3 linked regions of the Schizosaccharomyces pombe genome follow. Changing the gene in region 1 together with any one later gene gives a genetic interaction. Each region holds a gene or a part of one and is shown on either strand. Other genes may lie near its edges.

What was found.
Region 2: of elg1 (region 1) and srs2, changing one suppresses a phenotype caused by changing the other (phenotypic suppression), as found in Schizosaccharomyces pombe (one study listed by BioGRID).
Region 3: of elg1 (region 1) and rfc1, extra expression of one is lethal in a mutant of the other (dosage lethality), as found in Schizosaccharomyces pombe (one study listed by BioGRID).

Annotation. Positions count from the first base shown.
Region 1 is NC_003423.3:648,132-653,480, forward strand, and holds elg1 (DNA replication factor C complex subunit Elg1), read left to right. Parts: upstream 1-1,751; 5' UTR 1,752-1,848; coding exon 1,849-3,433; intron 3,434-3,477; coding exon 3,478-4,321; intron 4,322-4,368; coding exon 4,369-4,702; 3' UTR 4,703-4,849; downstream 4,850-5,349. Other genes in the region: protein Kms2, read right to left, coding at 6-752, 796-858; dsc1 (ubiquitin-protein ligase E3), read right to left, coding at 4,960-5,232, 5,301-5,349.
Region 2 is NC_003424.3:3,830,172-3,836,260, forward strand, and holds srs2 (UvrD subfamily ATP-dependent DNA helicase), read left to right. Parts: upstream 1-2,107; 5' UTR 2,108-2,603; coding exon 2,604-2,965; intron 2,966-3,030; coding exon 3,031-3,295; intron 3,296-3,315; exon of another isoform or gene 3,316-3,340; coding exon 3,341-3,771; exon of another isoform or gene 3,772-3,816; coding exon 3,817-5,422; 3' UTR 5,423-5,455; coding exon of another isoform or gene 5,456-5,501; 3' UTR 5,502-5,547; downstream 5,548-6,089. Other genes in the region: SPOM_SPAC4H3.04C (uncharacterized protein), read right to left, coding at 899-1,512, 1,604-1,785, 1,845-1,978; SPOM_SPAC4H3.16 (uncharacterized protein), read right to left, coding at 5,456-5,501, 5,548-5,755, 5,796-5,865. UniProt on the Schizosaccharomyces pombe protein: ATP-dependent DNA helicase involved in DNA repair at least for UV-induced lesions. Also aids the recombinational repair of camptothecin-induced collapsed replication forks.
Region 3 is NC_003423.3:3,852,084-3,858,079, reverse strand, and holds rfc1 (DNA replication factor C complex subunit Rfc1), read left to right. Parts: upstream 1-2,057; 5' UTR 2,058-2,137; coding exon 2,138-2,209; exon of another isoform or gene 2,210-2,277; coding exon 2,278-2,396; exon of another isoform or gene 2,397-2,444; coding exon 2,445-2,504; exon of another isoform or gene 2,505-2,564; coding exon 2,565-5,118; 3' UTR 5,119-5,423; downstream 5,424-5,996. Other genes in the region: rgp1 (protein sat1), read right to left, coding at 1-1,093, 1,384-1,726; rib3 (3,4-dihydroxy-2-butanone 4-phosphate synthase), read left to right, coding at 5,621-5,657, 5,706-5,823, 5,867-5,996. UniProt on the Schizosaccharomyces pombe protein: The elongation of primed DNA templates by DNA polymerase delta and epsilon requires the action of the accessory proteins PCNA and activator 1. Subunit 1 is essential for cell cycle progression.

The sequences.
Region 1 (5,349 bases):
CATACCGTTTTCCTTTCCTTTTCTACAGCATGGATTAGCTCTTCCATTCTCACAATATGGGCTTGCTGTTGCTCATACTCTTCATGAATGGTTTGTAATTGAGCTGCATACTCCTTAGAATCACGAAGAGCTTCACGAAATTTTTTCTCCCAGGTTTTCGCTTGGGTATAACAAGACTTGCAAGCTTCTTCCGAAGAATCCAATTCCTCCAATAATTTTGCATTTCGCGCGTTTAGTTCTTTAACTTGCTCGTCTTTAGAACGTAATTCTGCCGCTTGAAGCTCTATCCTTTCATAAAGCTGTTGAATTAAAGAATCATCAGCATTTTCCTTGTTTATATGAGAAAATCCTTTATTTGATCCATATTCATTTTTAGTTCGAAACATTGACAAAGGGGTTGAATGACTCAAAGGTGATCCTTTTCTTGGTGTTATGTAACTTGCGTCTTGATAAAACATATCTTTTCTCTTTATTCGATTTTCTGATATTTTTTGAGGCTTCGCTACACTTTTTCTTGGTAATACCCCATTCTCGCGCAAAGCTAATTTGTTTACAGGAAGGGTATCAGGGTCAAGACCAGTTAACTCATAAAACAAATTCTTAATTTCACTCGTAGACACTACAATCTCACTGTTATCTTTTATAAAATCTTGGGCCGATTGTCTTTGCTCATTATCAAGCAAAGGGGCCTCTGGATTAAGTCGCAATGCGTCAACATCGTCGACAATTTCTAAAAATGCTTGAATGGAAACCTGTCGAAAATTAGAAACTATTTTTCAAGTAATGAGAAATTACTTTTCCTGTATAATCTGGGTCGTATTGGCGCACAATATCGTCAAAAGGGATGTATTCATCCATTTTGATTGTTTATTGACATGTGCTTTGGTTAAACAGAATTAGTATAAAGGCAGGTTTGTTAACGATAACTTGTGCGATTTTCTTATTTTTGTAATGTAATGCAGAACAATACGTTATAGAAGTTGCCTTAAAAAAGTAAACAAAGTGCAAGTCAAAACATAAACAGGATATTTTAGCAAAATGTTGCAGTACGAAATGTATAAAATTGTTAGCAAAATCATCTTCAAAATAAATTATTTTTTACTGATTGAGTTAAAGTGGAAGGAAAGCTTTACACTTACCTTTTTTTAAAAAACAAACAAATAAATAAACAGATAAACAAATGTGATCCGTTTCTTGAATCTAGATTTACTTAATTGAAGTAAATAGACTACTTAACTTAGAAAATTTACTACAATCATAAACAAGTGAAATTCTGCTCTCCTTTATTTTACAACGATGCACAAAAAGTTAGTCAGCGTTCCGACTAATTGGCGGTAGTAGAAATAGTAATTATACAAATTCTTTAAAATTTTCTAAAAAGTATATTAGTATCAAATTTTTCTTTTGACTATTTCACTGATTATGTTAGGCTATGGATTAATAGCTATTGAACTCGGTTTTCTTTGCATGGAATAAGCAAACTCACATTAAAAGTTGGTAAGTCGTTTTTAAAAGAGATGAAAAAGCTTAACTGTGACGATTATATCTCCTACTTCTCTATTCAATTACTGACAGCTTACACATAACAATGATAATATGGAGGATCGTGTTGCTTCAATGGTGCAACGATATTTTATTTAGGAATTTCAGTAATCTAAAACATACTTAAAAATAAATAAATCTAAACTATAAGCTTATCGAATTCCCAATACTCGTTCACTAGTACACGGAGTCTTTGTCTACCTCTCCTTAACCAAACTGTTGAAAGCTGAGAAACCTGTGAAACTATTTCTAAAAATCATTCAAACTAGGACTTTTATTGAACTTATGCGGTGATTGAAGATCCCTATGCAAATTGTAGGCTATTTGTCTGCAGATTCGCAGAGTAATCCTGATTTAAAATCCGAAAATGAAGCAAAAGAAGAAAAGCCTATTGGGAGGAGACACACAATGTCACCAGTCCCTGCCACATCTGAAAATAAATATTTTGGCAAATCTCCTTTGTCAGGGTCTCGTAAACCTCGAAGAAGCCGATCACTTCATAAGGAACGTAGCTACATGAGGAAATTCTTTGATATGGATATGGAGGAAAGCAAAGACTTTGAAAATGATCAATCTTTACTAGTAACGCTTAAAGTATCGACTTCCTTGGGTCAAAAAATTGAGAATATATTACACCCAAAACTCAGCAATGATACCAACTCAACTGCCTTTCCGCCTGCTAAGTCGTCGGGAGAAGCATCAGATACTAATATTTTAGTTGAGAATATTAATTCACAGGAAACAGTTAATTCTTCCCCCCTTGTTTCCGAGTTACATTATTCAAACTTAGCAGATTCACCTAGTAATCTGCGAAATACTGTCACATCCATGCACCCGTTTTTCATGTCAAAGTCTGTGAAAAAGAATTCTGAAATCAAATTTGTAAGTGAAGAAAGAGGCGGTACTAAGCCAGAGAGGTTACTTGATCCATTATGGCCGACACCCGATTCCCAGAGTATGTTAGAGTATGCCGGCTCTATTGAGCCGAGTGTTTTCTGGTTTCCGAAAAAGCATTTAGAAGAAGCCATTTTAGAAGAGACCTCTCATCTTTCGTTTAAGGAGGTTCTTTCCTCCACCACCGCGAATATGATAACCCCATTAGCTGAGAAAAATAAAACAGAAGTATTACAGGTTACTCCTTCTAAACTTCATACTTTTGCTTTGGAATCGTTGTGCTTTTCACCGGCTCCTTTTATTCAAAAGGTTTTGTCAAGACTTTTGCCATCAGATCCTAATGTTGAAATGCCAATGATCCCACAAATATTAGAAAAAGGACTGTGGGTGTCAAAATATGCTCCATCTAAAACACAAGATTGCTGTGCGTTCTCTCAATGCCTTTCGAAGATAGCGGATTGGCTAAGGTCATGTAGGTTGACCAAACCTGAAAGCTCATCTGTACCTCCTTCATCTTCTATATCTCGATCCTCGACTATTCATTCTTGTACATCTTCTAAAAGAAATGAAGATTCTCTTTCGGAAAGTGACTTTGAACCGGATATCATTGAAGAAGAAGATGATTCCGACGAGTTCAATCCTTCTGTGTCGCGTAAAAAAGCAAAGCTTACATCTTCTCAATTTTCTAACTGGATGCTTGTTACTGGTGTTACGGGAATAGGAAAGACTTCATGCTTATATGCCATATGTCGTGAGCTTAATTTTGAAGTTGTTGAAATACACCCGGGAATGAGACGCTCGGGAAAAGAGCTGCTTGAACGGATTGGTGAGCTAACACAAAGTCATATCGTTGATAAATCTAGGCTTAATAATACTCCTGACATTCTTATCCTACTTGAAGAAGTTGATATTTTATTTCAGGACGATCGTGGCTTTTGGCAAGCAGTCTCTACTTTAATTGAAAAATCTAAACGTCCTGTTGTCATGACTTGTAATGGTAGGGAGAATGTTTTAGTTTTTCCACTACTAACATAATTTTAGAAACTGATTTTTTACCTTCTGCCTTTCTTCAGGAAGACCACATTGTGCAATTTCAGTCCATCTCTTCTGCCTTGCTAACCGACTATATTTCTAGTGTATTGTATGCTGATCGTTGCATCATATCAAGAAATGTTGTTGAATCAATAAGCTACAGATATGGTTCTGATTTGCGAGGTATACTAATGCAATTAAACTTTTGGTCCCTTGTAAATTTCCCTTCTTTGCCTTCTAAAGATAAGCAAGATGATTCTCATGAACCATTTATTGAGGCAACTATTTCTGCCTTTGATGAAGGCGTTGGAGTTTACAACCCACGAATTCAAACTAGTGAAGATTTACTGCAAACGTATTCTGAGGAACAAATGGGAGATATTGGGTTACTGTTCATGCCGAATTTAGTAAATTGGAGAAAAGTTTGCGTCCCAAAGTCTGAAATGGAAGAGAAGGAAGCAATTATGGAAAAATTAATTTACAGCCATCAATACGCGGACTCTCTCTCTTATGTAGATTACCGCTTTAGCTCTCAACCCACTATTTATGAGACTTATGAGTTAATGAATGATTCCGCGTCATTTGAAGATATGAGTTTGGAATGTCGGGATAATTGCGCTAACGCGTTTCAAGATAATCTTGTGGGATTTCCAACGATTTCGAATCCCTTTCATGCCAACGCTCCTCCCGAACCCCATGAATTAAAGCTTCAATACCATTCATTTTGCTTTATTAATAACTTATTTTCAAAAAGCTCTTTGAAAGCTATTTCCAGTAACGATAGCATTGTTCCAAAAGCTCTCAATAACCGTGAATTACAGCTATCTGCATTAGCGTCAACTATAGGTTACAAGTACGGTTACAAAAAAAATAGAAAATCTTACTTACTGTTTAATTTAGACTTGATCCGGATGATGTTTATAACATTCTTTCGTTTTTATCATTTGCTAATTCACAGGTCACCTCTTATACCCCCCCTAACAGCATTGACCGTCCTAATGACATTTTGATCCTTGAAGTTGCACCCTTTGTTCGTTGTATGCGAAGATATGATCGCATTCGTCTAAACAGCTATAAGTTGCTTCTCTCATCGAAAGGTCGTTCAGCATCTCATATATCGAGAAGAGGTGCAGCGAGTATATTACGGAGCGCTGGATATAACTATGGACGACTACAATATCTAGAAGGTAGCGACCGCATACTGTCTACTTGGTTTTCAACAACTCTAGATTAGCTTCTACATTTCCATTTTATTTTAAAAAACAACTCCTCCAGTTGAAACCAAAATAAGTTTCACTGTTTCTGTATATAGTGTATACTACTGAATATATCAAATCTTTACATTTATGATATTCAATAAAATTTATTTTATTTACTAAAATTTGCATTAAACGCATTACGTTGCACAATATGAACATCATTAAAACAAACAAAGAGCTTAGTAAGTCATTCGCTATGGATTTCTAAACCATAACTCATCAAATCATTACATTAAACGGCGGGAAGATGGCAGCGGCACACGGGACAAATACTTCTAGTTTCCATCCACTGTAGTAAGCATTGCCGATGGTAGAGATGGTGACAAGGTGTAAGCATGTAATTTCGTCTTACCATCATAGAGGCAGGATTTAAAGTAGATCCAGTGGAGACAAGCTCGATAGGTTGCATGCAAATTGGACAAACATTTGCATCTCTCATAAAGGCCTCCAAATCATCTTGTTGAATAACAGGATGATAGTCATAAACTGGGCTTGAAAGAAAGAACTAAAATTGAGTTAGCATTTTAAAAACATTAGAGCTTCAAATGCTCGGTTTAAAAAGTGTTGGCTTACCTTTTTAGGGAGAAAGAATCTCGGTCCCAATGTGTCTTGAACAAGCAGG
Region 2 (6,089 bases), on another chromosome or scaffold:
GGTTCCGTATATAAAATTCTTAACCAAAGATATGGTTAGTTTTAAGTATTAATAACTAGGTTGAAATTTTTCTAACTTAATTGATGAATATTAATTCTTTGTATACTATCTTGAGAATCAGTAATCTCAGGGCTGAGAAAATACTCTGCCGGTAGACACTATACGGTACTTCTTAAACGTTTAAATAAAAGTAATTTATACAACAAATGTCTACGGCCATACCTAGGCGAAAACACCAGTTCCCGTCCGATCACTGCAGTTAAGCGTCTGAGGGCCTCGTTAGTACTATGGTTGGAGACAACATGGGAATCCGGGGTGCTGTAGGCTTCCTTTTATTCATTTTTTTTTTGTTTGTTTTTGTGTTAATTTATTGTTAAACATGAAATTTTTGTATTGAAATTTTGTCTTGAACTCGTTGAGGCTGTATAATTTTCAAGCAAAGCTGGAAAGCATACTAGTTTAGAAGGTTATGCACATGCATGAATTGACTTTGATAATATAATAATGTTTTCGTTACTAATCGTGTAAAAGAAATTTGTTCAGAATATCAAAAACAGTAGTTTTATACATAGTAGAAAGATTTAAAAATTGATTAATTCTCAAGAGAGACCAATTGATACATACAGAAAACAAAAAAATTATATAAATGGAAAAGGGTATGTTTCGTAAATGTTGCAATTGAGAAATAAAGCGCATTTCATTTATCGTAATTTGCCTAGATCAGAAAAAGCATTGCAAAATTAGCCTCCTGAGTATGAATCTGATGATAATAACTAACAAACACAGGTTGCATAATACATGTTCCGATAATTTTCGGCTCTCAAATACTTAAATATATGATCGTTTCGCATCAGCCGTTTCAAGTCATGAAAAAAATAATAATAAAATATCAACAATACTATGCGGTTGCGGTTGCATAGCTAACGCTGCTATCGGTGACCAATTCAACATGGCTACTTTGAGCGTACGAAATAAACTTGAATCTTTCAGAGAAATTGGCGCATTCCATAGATTTCATAATGAGTTCTATAGGGTAACGGCCGCATATGGTGTTTTGAGTGGTTTTCAAATACTCTGAAAAGTCATCACTACTTTTCGTTTCAATAATTTTCATACCAATATGATCCAAATTAGATATAGACTCATAAATTTTGGGACTAGTGGGGCCACCTCGTCTTTTGTATTTTAAGACTGCATCCTCTAATTGATTCGTATCGTTCAAATAAAGGGTATATCCAAATCTTCTTCCCCAATGACAAAAATCGGAAGATATAACAAATGAATTTGATTCATCTTTAATATACTGACTCAGAAATTTCGCTGCTGCCATCATTGTGGTTGAAGTTAAGGCACCTATCATGATAGGAACAATTTTGACTTTTCCCAAGCATCCTTGTTTCAGCAAATGAAAAGCTAAAAGAGGGAATTGCATTTCGAGGCTATGTTCACTTTCATCCACATCCAAGGTCATTGAGTCGAAGCTGTTATCGCTAGCGACGAGTTTCTGACATACTATATAAATTTCCAGTTAGCAAATAATCTGTGCTGAGAAATAGACAGTAGCAATTTAGTAAAACTACTAAGCAAAACTGTTTTCACATACAGTCTTCATCCACTTTCAAATCACCTAAAGGTGTTGAGCAGATGCTAGCTCGACTGACTAGGCATTTTCTAGTAAAGATGTGATGAGAAGGCCCAAAAACAAAAACTCTCTGAATTTTCGAAAAGTCCAATTGCTGAAATCCTTGGGATGCGACTTTCCCACTATACATGTAACCAGCATGTCTGCTCAATATTTAGCTATATACTGAATATCACATAAATTATAAGTTGTCTATACGTACGGTGAAATGACAAACCGTTTCCCAGTCTCGGGCGTTGGGTTTTTGATAAATGATTTTAATTGCTTAGTTAGTAATTCTGTATCATCCAAATACCAAGATCCTGCATGAGTTGCTTCACGAATGGCTTGTGACATGAGATAAATTGAAGAATAATATTGATACGTTCAAATTGTAATTCGGTTTGTGATGTTCGTTTGACAATGGGTATTATTTTCTGAACAACACACTGTTACATATATCTTGCTTTCTTGCCTTCATCATTTGCGTTTTGCTGCACTAACACCACTTTTGGGAGGTCGAAACACAAGACTAAGACAATCGCAAAATCAGGTTTTCACACAATAAAATCATTACTTAAGAATACTGAATTGAAAGGCTTTCATTTGTTATACGTTCACGATTTACTCAAATTTCTTGTAGTAAAAACAGGTGGATTAAAATCTTTTTCGTATCCGTGTATCAGCCCTTTCGCGCTGGTAGGTCAATCGAGAATACTAAGAAATTGCAAGTGTTGTTTTCAACTAAATAAGGGTTGATCTTCTAAATTATTTCACCTATGCTATGCTTTCGTTAAAATAATAAGTATTTGTTAATTTTCTTAGTTTGACGTGTCATCGTTTCACAATTTAATATTTATTACCCGACAACTCATCGGAAAAGACCGTGTTTGGCCAAAAATCTTTGCATTGTTTTCCTATTTCTCACTTTTTTAAAATATACATTTGAAGCTGTCGGTTGAGTGTTTTGTTCTTCTCAATTATGGAAACGAAATCATCATACTTGAAGTTTCTGAATGAAGAACAAAGGATTAGTGTTCAGAGTCCTCATAAGTATACTCAAATTTTAGCCGGTCCTGGGTCTGGAAAAACCCGTGTTCTTACCGCTCGAGTAGCCTATTTACTTCAAAAGAACCATATTGCAGCCGAAGATTTAATTATAGCCACCTTTACGAACAAAGCCGCAAATGAAATAAAGCTCAGAATTGAAGCTATTTTGGGGAATAGTGAAGCCTCTAAGCTTATTTCTGGGACGTTTCATTCTATAGCGTACAAGTATTTGGTTAAATATGGCAAGCATATAGGGCTATCCTCAAATTGGTTGATTGCTGACAGAAATGATACGTATGTCTTGTTTACACTTTTCTAACTTTTACTTCTCCACTTTCAACCATTGCTGATCTATTTAGTCAAGCTATTATGAAGCGACTTTTAGACTCTCTCAAGAAAGCTAAAAATCCGATTGCTTCTGGTATTAGAGGACAAGAATTGACTCCTCAGAATGCTCTAAATCGCATAACTAAATTAAAGTCCAACGGTCTTCTTGTTAAACCTGGAATGGATCAGTTGAGTTTGATTAATGGTCTGGAAGAACCACCTAAAGAGCTTCAAAGCCATCAATCTGTTGAATTGTATAGACTTTATCAAACTTCCTTATGGAAGAACAATTTAGCGGTACGTAACAAGCATAAAGTTGTATGTATATATCTAACTATTTAGGATTTTGATGATTTGCTTTTAAACTTTATTTTATTACTTCAAAAGCAACCAGATTGTGTGAGGAATATAAAACATATTTTAATCGATGAATTTCAAGATACTAGCAAAATCCAATATTTTCTTGTTAAGCTTTTGGCATTGCAAAATTCAGATATCACGATTGTTGGCGATCCCGATCAATCAATCTATGGATTTCGAAGTGCTGAAATTAGGAACTTAAACCAAATGTCTGAAGACTTTGAAGGTACCCAAGTGCTTCATTTGGAAAGAAATTACCGTTCAGCTAAACCTATACTTGAATTAGCACTGTCTATCATTTCACAGGACAAAAGCAGGCCTAAGAAGGGGCTCAAAAGTAATCACATCTCTTCCTTAAAGCCTCATTACCGATTGTTTGAAACTAACAATAAAGAATCTTACTGGATCGCAAGGTTCGTATGGCTTCATTGCATGAAAGTTTACTAACGATTCTTTAGAGAAATTAAACGTATAGTAGGTTCTTGTCCAGAGCTTATATTTTATAACGATATCGCAATCCTTGTAAGGTCCTCCAGCCTTACAAGAAGTTTAGAACATGCACTTTCCGAACTTGGTGTGCCCTACCGCATGGTTGGAGTTAACAAGTTTTTTGATAGAGAAGAGATTCGAGACTTAATAGCTTACTTGAGAGTCCTAGCTAACAAAGATTCGACTTCTTTAATTCGTGTCATCAATGTCCCTCCTAGAAATATTGGCAAAACAAAAATCGACCGTATTATTTTCGAAAGTGAAAGAAGAGGATTGACCTTTTGGCAAACTTTAAATGAAGTAAAGAATGAAAATATTTTACTTTCTCAAAGAAATGACAAGAGTTTTCTAAAGTCTTTAAAGTCTTTTCTTTGTTCAATCTCCAAACTTGAAAATCGTTACTTGTCTAATGGGCACTCAGCAACTCTTAGTGATTTACTTTTGGGAATACTTTCTGAGATTAAATATTACGAATACCTGGTTCGGAAAAATAAAGAAACTGTCGAAGAAAAATGGGAAAATGTAATGGAGCTTGTACAACAAAGCGATAACATATCTTGTATATTCTATGAATTAGATTACAAAATATCAACAATTGTTCTATTGCAGAATTTTTTGACTCAAATCGCTCTTGTGAATGAAGAACAGAAAGAGGGCGAATCTCAGAAGGTTACCATTTCAACCCTTCACGCAGCTAAGGGTTTAGAGTGGCCTGTTGTATTTTTACCTTGTCTTTGTGAAAATATTATCCCTCATTCTCGTTCAGACGACCTCGACGAGGAAAGAAGGCTGCTATATGTCGGTGCCACACGTGCACAGGCGCTACTGTATCTATCTTCCTTTAAAAGCGTCACTGGAATGTTTGCAGATATGCAGAACTCAGACAATGTACAGGACGTCAGTCCATTTTTAAAAGGAGAAGAAATGAAAAGATGGGTGATGGAAAGTGAAATAGTTTTTAATGAAAAGATTGCTTCTGAAATTGGAACCATATTGGGTCGGAAATCTTATGGGAAAATAACTAATTTAAGCGGTATTGGTTCAAATGCAAATCATAACGGAACTAAATTCGAAAACTTGGGCTTCCAATGCTGTCGTGTTCTAGCTGAGGCAGAATTGAAAAAGAGAGAACGAGTCAAAAGTGTCAATGACTATAATAAAGATGAAACAAATTTTAGAAAACATAATGCCAAGAGATCGAAAACCGATATACGAAGTTGGTTTGAGAAAAAACAACCAATCGATTCAGATGTAGAGATTTCTGAGCCGTCAAGGTCCGCAAGCATAATGGTTGCAAATAAAGATTTAAATGATCGAAGTTTTGAAACTGTCAATCGTATTGTATCGACAAGAGCCTCAACGACAAACGCTTCTTTCATGAGCAGCGTCAGACAAAATCTTGGTAGAGGTCCTTCTACGAAAGATCAGGTAATAAATAGAACGTTGAGGGAAGGTCACCAAGATGTTGTGCAACATACTGACCTTAATCAATCAAATACTAAGGTCGCGAGTGCCCGTCCTGCTGGTTCGAGAAAACGATTGGGTGTAAGGCTACGAGTTTCACGAATGTTATAGTCATATCATGTTGTACAAAATCACGTATTATATTTATAGACAATCTAAACACCTTGCTACGGTGTTTTCTTTAAAATACCTACATATAATGTCAGCTTGAAAATAGATACAGATAATAAACTTACATTAGAGTACTACAGTTTCGACAAATATTTCGTTGGCAGCGATCACATGTAGAAAGATATAATACGTTATCACAAAATTCGCAAACACCGGTAGATGAAGGCAGATGGTCATTGTCAGTAACAAAATTAACCTTTTCATTTAAAACGATAGAAGAGGCATCATGGGCATTACTTTTTTTGCTTGCAAACAAACTAAGAAAAGATCTCACTTAGAAGCTTAGTAAAAAATCGCTAAATTCTTCACTTACTATCCAAATGATTTTTACACTTCTTTCTTGGTAACCTACTAGGAACATGTTCAGAACGACATCTTTTCATAGCTAAATCTCGGATACTTCGAGTTTCAAAAAAATGTGACACGTTGTTCTACCCTCTTAAAGCCTTATCGAGGTGTTGTTTTGTTTTTGTGGAACGCGGACTAGATGGCTAGTGCATGGTCTAATGGACTGTACAGGAATGGTCAAATAGGCGATACTTCTTGTCAAAATATAGCACTAAATGCATTTTTGAACCCTGTATATATTCGAAAAAAATACAAATCG
Region 3 (5,996 bases), 3.2 Mb from region 1:
TCTTCGCTCAATCTACCTTCACTCACCCTCTGTACTTCTTCACTGTATCTCGATCGACTCGGACTCTGCACCTCTTCACTATATCGGGGATGCGCCGGTCCCTGCATCTCACGTTTCTTGTTCACCGCCCTTAACAATTCCACCCGCAAAAAGTGTTCCACTCCAAATTGCTGTGTTTCAAATGTTTCCGGACATTCCTCCGGCACAACCATCGAAGCGCTCATGTTTTCCAACTCAAACACTCCCCGTGTAATTCTACACCACACTTTTCGCGTCGCCCTCTCCGTCCCTACGCTGTTGCGTATACGGATGTCTGGCACAATACGCTCCACACTTTCAAGTTGCATATGCACTTGTCGAACCATCGCGTCCAGTCCTTCTAGCTCAATCATCATCATCTCTCCTGTCCGATATCTGCTTTTGCTCAAAAGCAATCGACATAACACTTTTTGTTTGCTTGTAATCTCAAACCTCGTGGCCATTGGTTGCTTGGATTCGAGTTTTTTTAACAACGCAATTTTTTCTTCATCCTCTTCCTCTAATACTTCTTCATTGATCTCTGACCTCATTCCATGATCTTGGAATTCTCCTCCTCCCTCTTCATTAGACTCTCCATCAAGTAGCTTTTTTATGTGTTGCTCGTATTTCTTTTTTTGCTTCTCTTCCTCCTGCGCATCCTGCGAAAGTCGTATACCGTTTTTACCGAATTGCCTACGTGCTTTCTCTGCTGAAACCTCTTCAATTTCTGCCGCATCTGTTTCAATAATCGGTTTGGATAAATCTGCAAACAGCTTCGAGGATTGTCTGTTTCCCGAATTCTTTCCGAGTGGCAGTTCAGGTTGCTGTTGAACGTTGGGTACTATAGTAATTTCAAATTCATGCTCTACACAAGCATTGTTGGTAGCTGATTGGACTCCTATGACCAGTGCGTGTTGAAATCGAAAGGCCAATCCTTTATATGTAGGTGCTGTTCGAAGGGGAATTCTTCGCTTCAACCGAAAGCATTTTTCCTCTCCAGGAGAAAGCGTGATATCGACTCCTAATATATCTGGACGAGTCAGTAGCACTGGAATGGCATTTTCCTGCTTTTGTTCTTTATCGGTTAGTATTCATGCTTAAGCAGTAGGTTGCAGTAAAAATAAGAGTAACCATCTTCCAAAAAAAAAAAAAAAAAAAAAAAAAATTGAATAAAGAGTAAATATGTTTCAAATGAATTACAAAACTCTTCCCAGACAACCTTTCTGTAATTCGTCAATTGACTTTATGTCCACCTCACCGTATAAGCACTCTTCCGAGCTATATCTTCCCTCCAAATGTAAGCCAATTGAGAGATTTTTTTTACCAAGTCTTTATTTCCTTTTGCACCCTTTCACCATTACATACCTGAGGCCTCTGTCAATGTACTTGCTTGTTTAACTCCAAATAAATTTCCAATCATCCCGTTCAGAGTATTAATAACAGAATAACTGCTGGATACCTTGGGAATATGTACTAATCCGCTCATTGTCCTTTTGTTTAAGAGCCCCTGCCTCTGAACCTCATCGAATTCTGTAACGCGCACCAGTACATAGTCAAGGTACATTTCACCATGGATAGAAGCATAGCACAAAAGTAAATTTACATCTTCTGAACTCCTTAGATTCGTGAATTTTACAATGCACTCAAAGTCAGTTCCGGATTGAACTACATTCACTGGCATGTACATTTGCACATCACATTCTGTCATTGTCGAACACCACTAAACTCTTATATTCGATAATTTCTCAAGCCGCTGGCTTCAGCTTTACCTTAATAATAACCATACAACTTGGATTTCTTCATTCGTATTGACGAACGTTTATTAGTCTCGTAACAAATGCACAATCAAAATAGTACTGTAAAAGAGCCCACTTTTCTTCCTCCACGACTCATTTTACGAGATTAAATAACGAACGCCCACAATCAATTTTTTACACTCTCCTTACTATTCCTTAATTTACTCATTTACGAATGTTTTAACGAAGCTTTGTTAACTCTCTGCTTTTGGCAAATTGTCACATTCCTTGCTATTGTCGCCCAATATACATACATACACTGCTTTTTTGGAAGTTAGACAGTAGCTTCTCAGGAATTGGGTAATTGTTATTCATCGTCGGAAATGAGTAATTCTGACATTCGAAGCTTCTTTGGAGGAGGGAACGCTCAAAAAAAGCCAAAAGTCTCACCGACTGTATGTTTGTTTCTTCAATCAGTCAAATTTGATAAGCTAGTCATTCATTTTCTAACGTCTTTGTCTAGCCTACTTCCCCAAAACCAAAAAGGAGTTTGAAGAAAAAAAGAATCGTTTTATCAGATGATGAAGATGGTACAATAGAGAATTCAAAAGTTCCTGCATCCAAAAGCAAAGTGCAAAAACGGTTCGTTTAATTCGGGTTATCAGTTTATATTTCTAACCCTCCAACTAGTAATGAGTCGGAAGATATTTCCCATTCTTTGCCATCCATTGTTCATGAAGACGATAAACTGTATGTTTATTTTACTTTTACCTCATTATGCGTTGTTCGCTAATTTGAATTTTTGTTTAGTGTCGGTTCAGATGGAGTTTCAACTACACCTGATGAGTACTTTGAACAACAGTCTACTCGGTCACGTTCTAAACCGCGGATTATCTCCAATAAAGAAACTACTACTTCCAAAGATGTCGTACATCCTGTAAAAACAGAAAATTTTGCCAATGACTTGGATACCACTTCAGACAGTAAGCCAGTTGTCCATCAAACTAGAGCTACACGTAAACCTGCTCAACCTAAAGCAGAAAAATCGACAACTTCAAAGTCAAAATCTCATACCACAACTGCGACAACTCACACAAGTCGTTCTAGCAAGTCGAAAGGCTTACCTAGGTTCTCAGACGAAGTTTCCCAAGCCCTCAAAAATGTTCCTTTAATTGACGTAGACTCTATGGGTGTGATGGCTCCAGGTACTTTCTATGAACGGGCGGCTACAACACAAACTCCAGGCTCAAAACCCGTCCCTGAAGGCAATAGCGATTGTCTCTCGGGAATTAGCTTTGTTATTACAGGAATTCTAGAGACTTTAACTAGACAAGAGGCTACAGACCTGATCAAACAATATGGTGGAAAAGTGACAGGTGCACCTTCTGTTAGAACAGACTTTATTCTCTTAGGTGAGAATGCTGGTCCAAGAAAAGTGGAAACAATTAAACAACACAAGATTCCTGCTATTAACGAGGATGGACTCTTCTATCTTATAACTCATCTTCCTGCTTCAGGAGGAACGGGTGCTGCGGCTCAGGCTGCTCAACAGAAAAAGGAACAAGAAGAAAAGAAAATCCTTGAAACTGTTGCGAGAATGGACGATAGTAATAAAAAGGAATCACAACCTTCACAGATATGGACTTCAAAATATGCGCCAACTTCTTTAAAGGATATTTGTGGTAATAAGGGTGTCGTTCAAAAACTTCAAAAGTGGCTACAGGATTACCACAAAAACAGGAAGTCCAACTTTAATAAACCTGGACCTGATGGTCTGGGTCTATACAAAGCCGTATTACTCTCTGGTCCTCCAGGTATTGGCAAGACGACTGCTGCTCATTTGGTAGCAAAATTAGAAGGTTACGATGTTTTGGAACTGAACGCTAGTGACACTAGAAGCAAGCGCTTGCTAGATGAGCAGCTGTTCGGTGTGACAGATAGTCAATCACTTGCCGGCTACTTTGGCACAAAAGCTAACCCCGTTGACATGGCAAAGTCCCGACTTGTACTCATTATGGACGAAATCGATGGCATGTCATCGGGTGATCGTGGAGGCGTTGGTCAGTTGAATATGATTATTAAAAAAAGCATGATACCAATTATTTGTATTTGCAATGACCGTGCTCATCCAAAGCTGCGGCCCCTTGACCGTACTACGTTTGACCTCCGTTTCCGTCGGCCAGATGCTAATTCAATGCGATCCCGAATAATGTCTATAGCGTATCGTGAAGGTCTCAAATTGTCACCACAAGCAGTCGATCAACTGGTTCAGGGGACGCAGTCCGATATGCGCCAAATTATTAATTTGCTATCCACTTACAAGTTAAGCTGTTCAGAAATGACACCTCAAAATAGCCAAGCTGTTATTAAAAATTCTGAAAAGCATATCGTTATGAAACCATGGGATATCTGTAGTCGTTACTTACATGGAGGAATGTTTCATCCATCAAGCAAGTCCACCATTAATGATAAATTAGAGCTGTATTTTAATGATCACGAATTTTCTTATCTTATGGTTCAAGAAAACTACCTTAATACTACACCAGATAGAATTCGTCAAGAACCACCGAAAATGTCACATTTGAAGCATTTAGAATTAATATCTAGTGCTGCTAACTCCTTTTCCGACTCTGATCTTGTTGATTCAATGATTCATGGTCCTCAACAACACTGGTCACTTATGCCAACCCATGCTCTTATGTCTTGCGTGCGACCTGCTTCTTTCGTGGCTGGTTCCGGTTCCAGGCAGATTCGCTTTACTAATTGGTTGGGTAATAACTCGAAGACAAATAAATTATATCGTATGCTTCGTGAGATACAAGTACACATGCGTTTAAAAGTATCCGCTAATAAATTGGACTTGCGGCAGCATTATATTCCAATATTGTATGAGTCTCTGCCTGTAAAGCTATCAACAGGCCATTCAGACGTCGTTCCAGAAATCATTGAATTGATGGATGAATATTATCTAAATCGTGAAGATTTTGATTCAATAACGGAATTAGTTCTTCCTGCAGATGCAGGTGAGAAACTCATGAAAACCATACCGACTGCTGCAAAATCTGCATTCACAAGAAAATACAATTCTTCGAGTCACCCCATCGCCTTCTTTGGAAGTAGTGATGTTTTACCTATGAAGGGCTCTGCTCAGCGCGAAGTGCCGGATGTCGAAGATGCAATTGAAGCCGAAGATGAGATGTTAGAAGAAGCTAGTGACTCAGAGGCTGCTAATGAAGAGGACATAGATTTAAGCAAAGACAAATTTATTTCGGTACCAAAGAAACCTAAAAAAAGGACTAAGGCAAAGGCTGAAGCGTCCTCTTCTAGCTCAACCAGTCGCCGATCCAGAAAAAAGACAGCTTAAAAAGCTCTGAAAATATTACTTTTACGGATTGTATATGAGTTATCGGGATTATATTGCTGAGTAAGTGAAATTTGCGAATACTTTTCAATTACTTTGCAACAATAGTAAATAATATAGATTTTTTGGTGGATTTTACAGTTCTGGTAAGATATGCTCAAATTTTCTTAATCTTAAATGTGTGTTCTTTTGTCCGTTACATACTTTAATGTTTATAAGATATATTATATCATATTTAGCATGACCGTATTTGCAAGGTTAGATTTAAAAATTCGGTGAGTGGTATTTTCAATAAAGCTATCGTGAACCATATCATTTGTAATTGAGTCAGTAAAATAAAAGCTAATTGACAGGCGGTTTAAAATGTATAAAATTATTTTTATTATTAATAATTATATCGTTTCATCTAAGTACGCTACATTGCTGTGTTAACTATCAGAGTTATGGTGAGCTAAGTGCTTAGTAAACTTAGCAGAGAGCATCTGAAAAGCTGCCAAATACCAGAATGCTTGCATCAATTGAGGAAGCAGTGAATGACTTTCGTAAGCATATTTCTTTTTAAAAAGATAAAACGCTAATATCATGACAAGGGGATGGAAAGTTTTTAATAGTGTTAGACGATGAAACGCGTGAAAACGAAGGAGATCTGATTATTGCAGGTTGCAAAGTTACTACCGAACAAATGGCATTCTTAGTCAGGCATTCTAGGTATGCAAAACGACATGGAATTGTTTGAAATGCTAATAAATAGTGGGTATGTCTGCGTACCCATGACTGGTGAACGTTTGGATTCTCTAGAAATTCCTATGATGGTAGATAATAACGAGGATCGTATGCGAACAGCATATGCAGTTACTTTGGATTATGCCAACGGTACTACC